3 linked regions of the Macaca mulatta genome follow. The protein of the gene in region 3 interacts with the protein of the main gene of each other region in a pairwise test. Links are inferred from orthologs where the notes say so. Each region holds a gene or a part of one and is shown on either strand. Other genes may lie near its edges. The genes, in order: GJA4, VAPA and OPRM1.

Region 1 (4,484 bases), on a different chromosome or scaffold from region 3:
AGTGAGCAGAGGCTGCAGTGGGGGCGTGGTGAGAACCAGCCTCCAGGGGCCTCGGTTCTCATGCCCTCAAGGGTCAGAACTAAGTGGGGCAGTTGTTAGCTTCAGAGATCCAGGAGACTCAGTTCAGCCTGGCCCTGATGGAGAGACCTAGAGGGGAAGCCAGCTCAGCCAGATCACCCAGGGCAGCTAGCCCTGAAGTTCTCAGGTCTGTGTGTCCCCAAAGATGTCCTCCTGCTGGTCCCGAAGACAGACCAGGGACCCAGCCCTGGGGCCCAGGGAATCCAAGGACTAAATCTTGCTGTGGAGGAAAAGGGACTTCTGTGTCATCAGCCCCAGGCCTCAACAGCCCCCTGCCAACTTCCCTTTCCTCAGCTGTGCCCGCCCCTACCACCGTCCAAGAACAACCCACAGACCCTTTTTGTTACAGTATCACAATGTTTTTAGCCACCACTCACTTGAAAAACTTTAGGTACCACTATTACACTATGTGCTTTGATCACACTGTATGCTGTCAACCCCACAAAGTAGGTATTATCACTATCCTCATTCTGCAGAGGAAGAAATTGAGGCACAGGGATTTGAGTAACTTGCCTAAGGGTGCAGGAGTCAACAGCAAAGTCTCAACTCTTAGGCTCAGCCACCAAGAAAGTCTCAGCACTCTGAGGGCGGTGTCCAGTCTCAGAACCCCACAGCTCCAGGCCCTCAAGCCACACTCATGCCGCCCCTCTACCTAGAATGTTCTTCCCCTCCACTTGGTTAATGGAGGGGGAAAAGCATTTCCTCTCCTCCAGGAAATGTTCCTAACCAAGTCCCCTGGGAATCACCCAGTACCTCCCAGGAGAACTTTCCACATTTATTATCTTACCGTTATCCAAGGGCTGATATGCTCAATCCCTGCACCAGCCAGTGAGGGAGGAGGCCAGATATCACGTTTGGCTGGTTCCTCGTGGTATCCCAGGTCCCCAAGCAGCGGCTGCAGAACAGCAGACACTCATTGATATTCATCCACCTGTGATGCCTGAATGCATGACAGCAGGCTCTGCATAGCCCTTTCACTCCTATGAATGTCCCCCGCACCACCCGGCCACCATTTAGAGGCATACCAATGGGTCCAAGCTAAAGGTCAGGTGGTTCCCCTACCCCCAGTCTCAAGGAGTCCATGGGACTCGCTTAATGGCCTCCGATTGTGTAGCCTGCCCAGGCATGGGGATGTTTGAGAATTCTGGAAGAACGTGGGCTGGGTGTGGGTAGAGACCCCAGCTCCACCACGTATGCGGGAAGCGTGGATTACAACCCCTGTCCCCCATTGGAGCTTCCCGCGCCGTAATTAGCCTTGAACGCCTCATCCTGGCACACTAGGGCCACCTAGCAAATGAGTGGTTCCCACACCCCGTCCCCATCCGCCCACCCCTCACAGCACCCCAGGCCAGTTGCCCAGATCAACAGCTCTTACTGCAACCCTTTCAAATCCAGATCCCCTAAGAGATCCTGGCCTGGGAGAACTCCTCTTCCCTGGCCAAAGAAACGACAGGAGAGTTTACCATCTGGAATACCTGGTGGAGAGAGAACAGGAGAGGAAGGGTAGGTCAGCCCCTCTTGCCCCTCCCCACCGCAAATCACAGGCCCACCTCCCCGGAGTGGGTTTAGGGAGTCTGCACCTCCCAGTCCCCGCCCCCGCCCTCTCTCCGGCCCCCGCCGCCCTCCCCGTCGCGTTTCCTGCCCCCACCCCGCCCCTCTGCGCTATTTAAGGCGCCCCCGCCGCCCGTGCGGTCCAGCAGGGCTCCCGCGGGCGTCGCTCCGGCCATCGTCCCCACCTCCACCTGGGCCACCCGGCAGGCAGGCGGTGAGTCGGGGGCTAGGAGGGGACCGGGGGTGCCACCTGCTCGCGGGAGGCCGGGCGGAGTCTTGGGTCCTCCGAGGCCGGGACGGGGGTTGCTGCGGAACGCCCGCCGCGACAGAGCCGCGCTCACCCAGGTGGCCTTGGCCAGGCTCCCACCCTCTTTCCATGGAATCCTTATAACAACCCGAGGCGGTAGGAATACTATTGTTTCCACTCTACCATGGAGGAGACTGAGGCGCCCAGAGGTTGTTCCTTATCCAAGGGGCCGCAGTTTCTAAAAGCCAAGATTTGAACCCAGGGCCACTTCCAGAGCCTGGCTCTAAACAGCTTTGCACTTGGGAAGAGGCACCTCCCTCTTGGGAACTTTGTGGCCTGTGCCTCACCCTGCAATAACAATTCCTTTCAAGAGTCTAGAATTTGCCAGCATCAGCTTTGGAGATGGAAGGGGGTGGGAGTGGAGGTGGACGAAGAAGACAGGACCAAGTGTCCCTCCTCAAGTGGCAGGTGGTCATTATTGCTGACCGGTGGAGCTAAAGGATGATGCTGCCTTCAGCTCCTAAAACCCCTCCCGCCTCCCAGCCCCTGCAGGCTCAAAGATTAGAGTGAAGCCAGCTGGGTAAGATATGAAGCAGGGAGCAGGGACCGGAGGCTTTGAGCCCCCTAAGAAGCAGAAGATAACACCTCTACCATCAGCACCAGCCCCCACTGTCTGGGGGCAGCCAGCCTTGGCTAAAAGGGAGGAAGGGCTTAGCCCAGCTGCACAACCTTGGATATATTCCTCAAATTCTGTTCCCACAGGCAAAGGAGCCTCAATTCCACCCAGATTTCCTTGGTCTGTGTCCATCCTAGGGCAGTGGCTTGGGGACAAGAGGGATATCGATGTCTGATTAGGCAGGGACCTTAGCCAAAGCAGAATGAGACCATACAAAGAGGTTGACAGCCATCATCCAAAGATCTGCTTTGGGTCCTGCCTGCACTGCTGAGTGGGAGCCTCCAGGCCAGTCCTTCCCCTTCCTGAGCCTGGGTTTCTATGTAGGTAGAACGGGCATGGCAGACCTCCCTGCAGGCTTGTTGCTGGGCGAACGAGAAGGATGCCATGCTAACATGCTGATGTGCTCTGTCTCCTTGCAGACGGAGGCCCGGGAGCCATGGGTGACTGGGGCTTCCTGGAGAAGCTGCTGGACCAGGTCCAGGAGCACTCGACCGTGGTGGGCAAGATCTGGCTGACGGTGCTCTTCATCTTCCGCATCCTCATCCTGGGCCTAGCCGGCGAGTCAGTGTGGGGTGACGAGCAGTCAGATTTCGAGTGTAACACGGCCCAGCCAGGCTGCACCAACGTCTGCTATGACCAGGCCTTCCCCATCTCCCACATCCGCTACTGGGTGCTGCAGTTCCTCTTCGTCAGCACGCCCACCCTGGTCTACCTGGGCCATGTCATTTACCTGTCTCGGCGAGAAGAGCGGCTACGGCAGAAGGAGGGGGAGCTGCGGGCACTGCCAGCCAAGGACCCACAGGTGGAGCGGGCACTGGCGGCCGTAGAGCGTCAGATGGCCAAGATCTCGGTGGCGGAAGATGGTCGCCTGCGCATCCGCGGAGCGCTGATGGGCACCTATGTGGCCAGCGTGCTCTGCAAGAGCGTGCTAGAGGCAGGCTTCCTCTATGGCCAGTGGCGCCTGTACGGCTGGACCATGGAGCCCGTGTTTGTGTGCCAGCGAGCACCCTGCCCCTACCTCGTGGACTGCTTTGTCTCTCGCCCCACGGAGAAAACCATCTTCATCATCTTCATGTTGGTGGTTGGACTCATCTCCCTGGTGCTTAACCTGCTGGAGTTGGTGCACCTGCTGTGTCGCTGCCTCAGCCGGGGAATGAGGGCACGGCAGGGCCAAGACGCACCCCCGACCCAGGGTACCTCCTCAGACCCTTACACGGACCAGGTCTTCTTCTACCTCCCCATGGGCCAGGGCCCCTCATCCCCGCCATGCCCCACCTACAATGGGCTCTCATCCAGCGAGCAGAACTGGGCCAACCTGACCACGGAGGAGAGGCTGGCTTCTTCCAGGCCCCCTCTCTTCCTGGACCCACCCCCTCAGAATGACCGAAAATCCCCCAGTCGCCCCAGCAGCTCTGCTTCTAAGAAGCAGTATGTATAGAGGCCTGGGGCTTATGTCACCCAACAGAGGGGTCCTGAGAAGTCTGGCTGCCTGGGATGCCCCCTGCCCCCTCCTGGAAGGCTCTGCAGAGATGACTGGGCTGGGGAAGCAGATGCTTGCTGGCCATGGAGCCTCATTGCAAGTTGTTCTTGAACACCTGAGGCCTTCCTGGTGCCACCAGGCACTATGGCTTCCTCTCCAGAACGTGGCTTTGCCTGAGCACAGACAGAGTCAGCATGGGATGCTCTGGCCTTTCGCAGCTGATCCAGAGGGACCCAGAGCCAACTTACCCCAACCTCACCCTATGGAACAGTTGCCTGTGTGCAGGTTGTCCTCAAACCCTCCCCTCACAGGAAAAGGCGGACTGAGGCTGCTGGGTCAGCCTGGATCGCACAGACAGAGCTTGTGCCGGATTTGGCCCTGTCTAGGGGACTGGTGCCTTGTTTTCATCACTCCTTCCTAGTTCTGTTCATGCTTCTAAAATAAACAGGACT
Region 2 (3,706 bases), on a different chromosome or scaffold from region 3:
AGATTTGCTCTTATTGCCCAGGCTGGAGTGCAACAGTGTGATCTCGCTCACTGCAACCTCTGCCTCCCAGGTTCAAGTGATTCTCCTGCCTCAGCCTCCCAAGTAGCTGGGATTGCAGGCACCCGCCACCACACCCAGATAATTTTTGTATTTTTAATAGAGACAGGGGTTTCACCACGTTGGCCAGGCTGGTTTCGAACTCCTGACCTCAGGTGATCCACACACCTCGGCCTCCCAAAGTGCTGGGATTACAGGTGTGAGCCACCGTGCCCAGCACAGCTTTTTTGTTTTACTTTTCCAACAGCAGAATCATCTCTCAAATAAAATCTCATACAGAACATTAGCATACAAAGAGCAGAAACCAGGAATAAAGTCTCTCTCACTTCCCTGGTTCATTCTTCCTATTTTCCAGACCTGCCCCACCTGTCACTCCTACTGTTTACACTCTCCCCTCCATGCCAGAGGTAAACAGTGGCTTTTGAAAGAAATCTATTGAGCACCCTAAGGAGCACATCTTTATCAAAGAACAGAACTATGGAAGTCATGGCAGATCAAGTAAAAGTAACCAACAAAATCCTTTAAAAGATCCATGGTGTGTAGGTGTGAAATAAAGATATTCTTCCCGCTATCCAGACAAGCACTTGGAAGCAGAGGGGTACCCCTCAAGGGGGTACTATGAAGTATCAAACATGAAGAGACACAAAAATTCACTTTAAAAAGCATTTCAGCAAAGGAGTTCACAGATCGACTTAAGATACAGTGTTCAGAGTGCAGTTCCTATATACACCTAACAAAAGGAATAATCAAATAACTCCCATCATTTAGCTTATTTTAGTTACATATATTTTTGTATCATCTACGTTGCTGCAAAGAGCTTCAGACAAAGCCTAAAGAGCAACATATAGGAATTCAGGTCTTGAAACAATTACTTGTCAATGACAAGTATTATTCATAAATTTCACACATATTCAAATCGGTCCTCCTTCACCATCCATTTATTCAATCAAATATATGACTACTACACACATGTACGGCGAATGCAAAGAGAAATGAAACACTGCCCCTGTCCCCAAGGAAATTACTGCCCACTAGAGGGAGAAAGGCCTCTAACAAGTAAGAGCAGTAGAATGCAATCGGCATAGTGGTGGCACAAAGCAGACAGGACAAATCGATTTTTTTTTCTTTTGGAGAGGGTCCCAGCAAACGCTATACTGAAAAATCAACAAGAATATAGTAGCAAGACATTAATATGTGTATGTGCTGTGTCGGGAGGGACAGGGTTCTGAGCCTTTCCAGTCACAGTGAAGAGCTGATACTAAAGCGAAAGAGGGGTGATAAACAGATGCTTCTCCAGCATACTCCAGCCCAACGCTGCCCCACGCCAATATGTGAGCTTCAAATGTGACCCCATATGTAACGTTAAATTTTCCAATAGTACATTTAAAAAGTAAAAAGAAATGTGTAAAATTCATTTTAATAATATATTCAATTCAACCCAATATACCCAAACTACTATTTCAGTATGTAACCATTAAAAAAAGAAAAATTTACCTTTTTCTGTACTAACTCTTCAACATCAGTATTTTACACTCAACAGCACAGCTCAATTTGAACAAATCCCATTTCAAGCGCTCAACAGTCCTAGGTGACTAATGGCTATGATGTGGGACAACACAATCCTAGTTCAGTGTGACTGGGGCACAAAATGGGAAGGACAGGAGAAACAAGAGCTGAAGCTGGCAATGCTGCAGGCCAGATCACAAATGATTAGAATGTGTGCTAAGGTAAGGAACCTGTGGCAATGAGAAACCACAGGAAGACTTTTAAGAGAGGAGTAGGGTGGGGAGCAAAGGTCAGGACATAATCAAATTGGGGAAAACAAGAAAGAACTGACCAAGGATAAATTTAAAAACTAATTGCTAAAATGGCCTAATAACACTCACATGTCCTATACCTTCATTTAAATCAACTTATTTTCAACCAACAGAACTTACTCTCAGGTGTCGATTTTCTTCTGACAGCTTCATCATTTCTCCCTGAAGTCTTTTACACTCTTCCATTAGTTTCCTTGTTTCAGTATCATTAAGTGAAACACTGTGTGGTTTTGGCATAGGTCCATCTTGTTTAGATGCATTCAGTGGAACGGTTTTGCTAGGTTCCATGTCATTCTGTATTACAAAGATATTGAGATTTTTTTTACCAAATCTTCTTACAGGTTTTAAACAAACAAAAACATAAATTCTACATCTTTGTTTATGAAAAACTCTTTAAAAGGCCTAAATCAGTACATGCCAGCAGTCAGATTAGTCTAAATAACGAGCCCACTCCCTCTATTCCCATAACCGCTGGCATGTACGTCTACCATAGCACTTTATTATGTATCTTAATAATTATTGTTCAAGTTCTTTCCTATAACACTTCAAAGGCTGGGAAAGCAAGAGCCATCTCTCTTTGTATTTACCCCTAAAACCAGCACTTTGGTCAAGAGTAGTTATTCAATCCAAGTATGCTGAATGACTGACGTCAACAAAATCCAAATACGAAGGTCATTTTCCATGCTCTGGTTCTGCAATTCAAATAAGGTTCTGGGGCGTAGGGGGATATTATTGCAATCATTCCAATAAAATTAGAAACTACCTAAGAAAAAACATGCCAAAAAAGCTAACTTCTATTATCATCTTAGTAATGCTGTTTGCTTTAATCCACGTGATTCAACATCACAGTAAAAATTAGCATGCTCTGAAGACTATGAGCCCCAAAATCTTAATCCTAACCAACACTGAACCATTTGAAGTTAGTGTTGAAGGCCTGGAGATAAATATCTATGACAGCATCTACATATTCTTCAGCCTGTGGTCTGAAGTACCCCAACATCCTTCACTCTAACAGCATTTATGTCACTACACATAGTAGCAGTATTAGAGTAACAAGTTTTTTCATTTTAATTAAATTTTTACTTGCTTTAAAATAATTTTAGAAAAAATCTGCTTTTTCAGCTATAAACTGCTAACAAAGACATTTACAAAATCAACTTTATGGCATTCCACAATACTCATTTTATAAGATTTATCAGAGGCTGCACACCTACCACACCATCCCAGCTGCCAAATTTATATTAAGTATAAACAGATTGTTTGCTCAAAGGGCAAAACTTGTTCTTCTTATGAAGGGGATGTGATTTGATTACTATGCCTAAATCCATGTAAAATCTATTTAAAAATGAAAATTTATAATGAGGTTCTAATCAACAACAGTATGTATTTGACCTGTCGGCAGATTCTTCCATTTTTCTTCAAGCTTCCCAGTTAAGAAAGGTTTAAATTAAAGAAGCATACTTCAATTCTTTCTCTGAGTTTTTCTCTTGCCAGCTTTTTTGTTCTTCACCCCAATCTCTTCCACCCCAATCTAATAATAGCCACCTCTACTATTAAAACACTGCTTCAGATATATCTTACCCTGCCAATACATTTTCCTATTATTTTCCTTAATAGTAGTTAGAACTCATTTCAAAATGATTTTCAGTGTAGTCAAATTCTATCCTAACACAAATCCAACTTCTGATAATGAAGTTGGCACACTGACTTCCTTTATAAAGGAGGTGGCAATGGCCACCAATATGGCAACAGAAGAACTTCTAGGTTTCAGTTAAGAATTGGGAAAAAGTATCATACCCATACCAGAAAACTGACGAAAAACTTAAGAGGAT
Region 3 (3,706 bases):
GGCTCTACCTTTTTCTTTAAAATCCATTCAGAGAGTGAAACTTCTAAAGCAAGTCAAGAAAAAAAAAAAAAAGCCCTGAAAATGTGGAGCTTTTCTGGCAGTAATGCAACTTCTGCAAGTATTGCAGACCGGATCAGGTATCAGAATTTTAAAGCTTCAGTAACAAAGCCACCCTATTGACCCTGAGGAGATTTATGAAATCACTTTCCTGATGTTATTGAAACCAGAACACTTTCCTGTACACAGAATTCAGTCCGAAAGAAAGGGCCTCCAACCAACAGCCGTCTTGGACTGAATGAGTTAGACTCAACCTCGTGTGATGGAAAAATAGTAAACACAGCTAACATTTAAAAGGAATTGATGGCACCATGTAAATCAGAAGCCCAAGAAGGGCCTGGCTTGAGGTATGGGGTTCTCTCTCATTCTCTCAAATCCACATCCTCTGGATTAGGTCCATTTTCAGACAAGCTCCTCCAGCAACTACATACCATACATCTTCTCAGGTGTGGGTCCTGCAGGAAAACTACTACACTCTTTCTCCGTAAGTCTCAAAATAAACTCTCACTGGCTCTGGTTGGAACATGAGACCATCCTTGCCATTCACCATAGCCCCAGTCACTGAACATCTTCACGCCCTGGACTAATAATAGAGCCCATCACAAAGCACCTGGACTGAGAATGGGAAATGAGTGGTTCCCAGAGTGAAACTGAGGTACTATTACTAAATGAAGGTAAATATATGTGGAATCTTAAAAAAAAAAAAATTGATGTCCAATATTTGCAAGGTATACTTCTGCCATCAGATATAATATATTATTGCAAGTGTACCTGCTTATCCATTCTACTATCATATTTCTAATTTCTGCAGGCCTTGAAAGCATATGACACTTCTAGATACTTATCCAGGAGAAAGAAAAGCATATAAAGACTTGCACAAGAATGATTATAAACAGTTTATTTGTAACATCCAAAAGTTATATGCAACTCAGTTCCCATTGATAGGTGAATGGATTAAAAAACAGAAGAGTGGATAAGTAATACTACTTGCCAATAAAAAGGAATTATTTCTTGTTATATGCAACAACATGGATGAATCTCAAAATAATTACACTGAGTGAAAGAAGCAGCACAAAAAAAGAGTACATACTGAATGATTCTGTTTGCATCTTCTAGGAAATGCAAACTAATCTACAAGAACAGAAAGAAAACCAAGATTGGCAATTGCCTAAGGAACAGTGAGGGTGGGATATGAGGACAGGGAGGGGCAAAAAGGAAAGATTAAAGAGCTACACAAAGACACTTTTGGGGGCAATTGATGTCATTGTCTTGATCAGGAGTTGACTTTTTTTCTGTAAAGTGCAAGATAGTAAGTAACTTAGGCTTTGCATGTGATCTGATCTCTGTTGCAATTATTGAACTCTGCCATTGTAGCATCAAAACACTCATGGGTTTTTAAATGGGTGTATCCGTGTTCCAATAAAACTATTTATAAAAACAGGCAGTGGCCCAGTTGGATCTACACACCATAGTTTGCCAATCTCTGATCTTAATTATGGTGGTGGTTTCACAGGTGTACACATGTATCAAAGCTCATCAAGTTGTACACTTTAATTATGTGTTATTTAATGTAGGTCAGTTCTACCTCAATAAAGCATTAAAAAATAAAAACAAAGCAAACACACTTGGGTTCCTCATCATGGATTGGATACAGTCTAATTTTCTTACCATGACATACAAGTTCTTCAGGTACTGGCCTCTCTTTTTCCCCAGTCAGATCCGTTGCTATTCCCTGGTAGAATGTGCTTGACACACACCTCAGGTCACTCCAACTCTACACCTTTGTTGGGGTTCTCTCTGTTACCTCTCTGTCTAGAATGACCTGCTCCTACCAAGTGTCTAACTCAATCATCCTACTTGTACTTCGAGATTAAATTTGCACTTCCAGGATGACTTCCACATCTTACTCCTGCTATTCCCTTTGCCTTATGCTCTGTGAGTTGCCTCATCTCTGTGCTTCATAATATCCTGTGTGTTTGTATGTGCATGTGTTCGTGTACATACTATCTACAGACGTGCACAATTATAATTCTTGATAATTTTAACTATATTTATATAGCTAAAATTTTCTCTTTTATATTTACAATTACTATCCAGTCACTGCCTCTACTACTTGACTGGAATCTCCCTCTTTCTATTGGACCTATCACAATGACTGACACAATACCAAAAAACAAAAAACCTCACTGTGTGCTCATGCCTGTAATCCCAACATTTTGGGAGGCTGAGGAGAGAGGATTGATTGAGCCCAGGAGTTCAAGACCAGCCTGAGCAACATGTTAAGACCCTATCCCTACAACAGTTTTTTTAAATTAACAGGGTATGGTAGCATGCACCTCCCAGCTACTCAGGAGGCTGAGGCAAGAGGATCTCTTGAGCCCAGGAGGTTGAAGCTGTAGTGAGCCCTGTTCATACCTTTATATTCCAGCCTGGGTAACAGGGCAAGATCATATCTATAAAAAAAAAAAAAAAAAAAAAAAAAACCCTCAACAAAGCAGCATCATTGCTATTATTACAGCTATTCAGCCCATAGGCACATCATTGACATCATTGTAAATAGCCAAGCTAATACTGGAAAATAATTCTATATCGAATCTCAAAAAAGCTTTCTATTAATTCATGCAAATTTATTATTGGAAGCTTACCTGTATTTTACATGAGTGTCTTTTACTGACTCGGACACTCTTCTTCCTTTATCTCCTAGATACACCAAAATGAAGACTGCCACCAACATCTACATTTTCAACCTTGCTCTGGCAGATGCCTTAGTCACCAGTACCCTCCCCTTCCAGAGTGTGAATTACCTAATGGGAACATGGCCATTTGGAACCATCCTTTGCAAGATCGTGATCTCCATAGATTACTATAATATGTTCACCAGCATATTCACCCTCTGCACCATGAGTGTTGATCGATACATTGCAGTCTGCCACCCTGTCAAGGCCTTAGATTTCCGTACTCCCCGAAATGCCAAAATTATCAATGTCTGCAACTGGATCCTCTCTTCAGCCATTGGTCTTCCTGTAATGTTCATGGCTACAACAAAATACAGGCAAGGTGAGTGATGTTACCAGCCTGAGGGATGGAGGGTTCACAGCCTGATACGGTGATGTCATAAGCAAAGTAGTATTTATAGAGAGGTCCATCATCTTAGTCAAATTGTAATTTTAATTATTCTTTCTAGTAAAAAAAAATGCCTTTGAATACTTTAAAATTGGAATTTTCCTCATAATTTTAGGCCTATTAAACCCTTTAAAGTGAATATAATCTATTTATTTCTGATTTCTCTGTATTTACTTCATAAAAATGGTGTGTAAATTAGAATATAGCTCTCCCAAGAGTAATTGGAGCTTAAACCCAAAGAGTATTACACTGAGGCTTGTTGAAAATTTTCAAGTGGCTGATTACATGGCAAATTTGTCTTTCTACACCTAATATCAGAATATTGAACAATCTATCAAAAAATGAAGTGAAAACATCCATTACGTGGAGTCTCCTAGAGACTTTGGACAATTATTACATTTTTTATATCAATGTAGACCTCATGGAGGATCTAGCTCATGTTGAGACGTTCATTTTAGTTCCCTTAATGAAACCTTAATGTGATCAAAGTGGACTGCAAATGAGAAATTTAGGAAAAAAAACAAAA

What was found.
Region 1: the proteins of OPRM1 (region 3) and GJA4 interact in binary tests that used the Homo sapiens proteins (3 or more experiments, as listed by UniProt). The link is inferred for Macaca mulatta from reciprocal best matches to the Homo sapiens genes OPRM1 and GJA4.
Region 2: the proteins of OPRM1 (region 3) and VAPA interact in binary tests that used the Homo sapiens proteins (3 or more experiments, as listed by UniProt). The link is inferred for Macaca mulatta from reciprocal best matches to the Homo sapiens genes OPRM1 and VAPA.

Annotation. Positions count from the first base shown.
Region 1 is NC_133406.1:206,049,739-206,054,222, reverse strand, and holds the start of GJA4 (gap junction alpha-4 protein), read left to right. Parts: upstream 1-1,479; 5' UTR 1,480-1,581; intron 1,582-1,676; exon of another isoform or gene 1,677-1,843; intron 1,844-2,971; 5' UTR 2,972-2,988; coding exon 2,989-3,990; 3' UTR 3,991-4,484. UniProt on the Homo sapiens protein: One gap junction consists of a cluster of closely packed pairs of transmembrane channels, the connexons, through which materials of low MW diffuse from one cell to a neighboring cell.
Region 2 is NC_133423.1:80,910,769-80,914,474, reverse strand, and holds part of VAPA (vesicle-associated membrane protein-associated protein A), read right to left. Parts: intron 2,169-3,706; coding exon 1,995-2,168; intron 1-1,994. UniProt on the Homo sapiens protein: Endoplasmic reticulum (ER)-anchored protein that mediates the formation of contact sites between the ER and endosomes via interaction with FFAT motif-containing proteins such as STARD3 or WDR44.
Region 3 is NC_133409.1:72,905,480-72,909,185, forward strand, and holds part of OPRM1 (mu-type opioid receptor), read left to right. Parts: intron 1-2,761; coding exon 2,762-3,114; intron 3,115-3,706. UniProt on the Homo sapiens protein: Receptor for endogenous opioids such as beta-endorphin and endomorphin. Receptor for natural and synthetic opioids including morphine, heroin, DAMGO, fentanyl, etorphine, buprenorphin and methadone.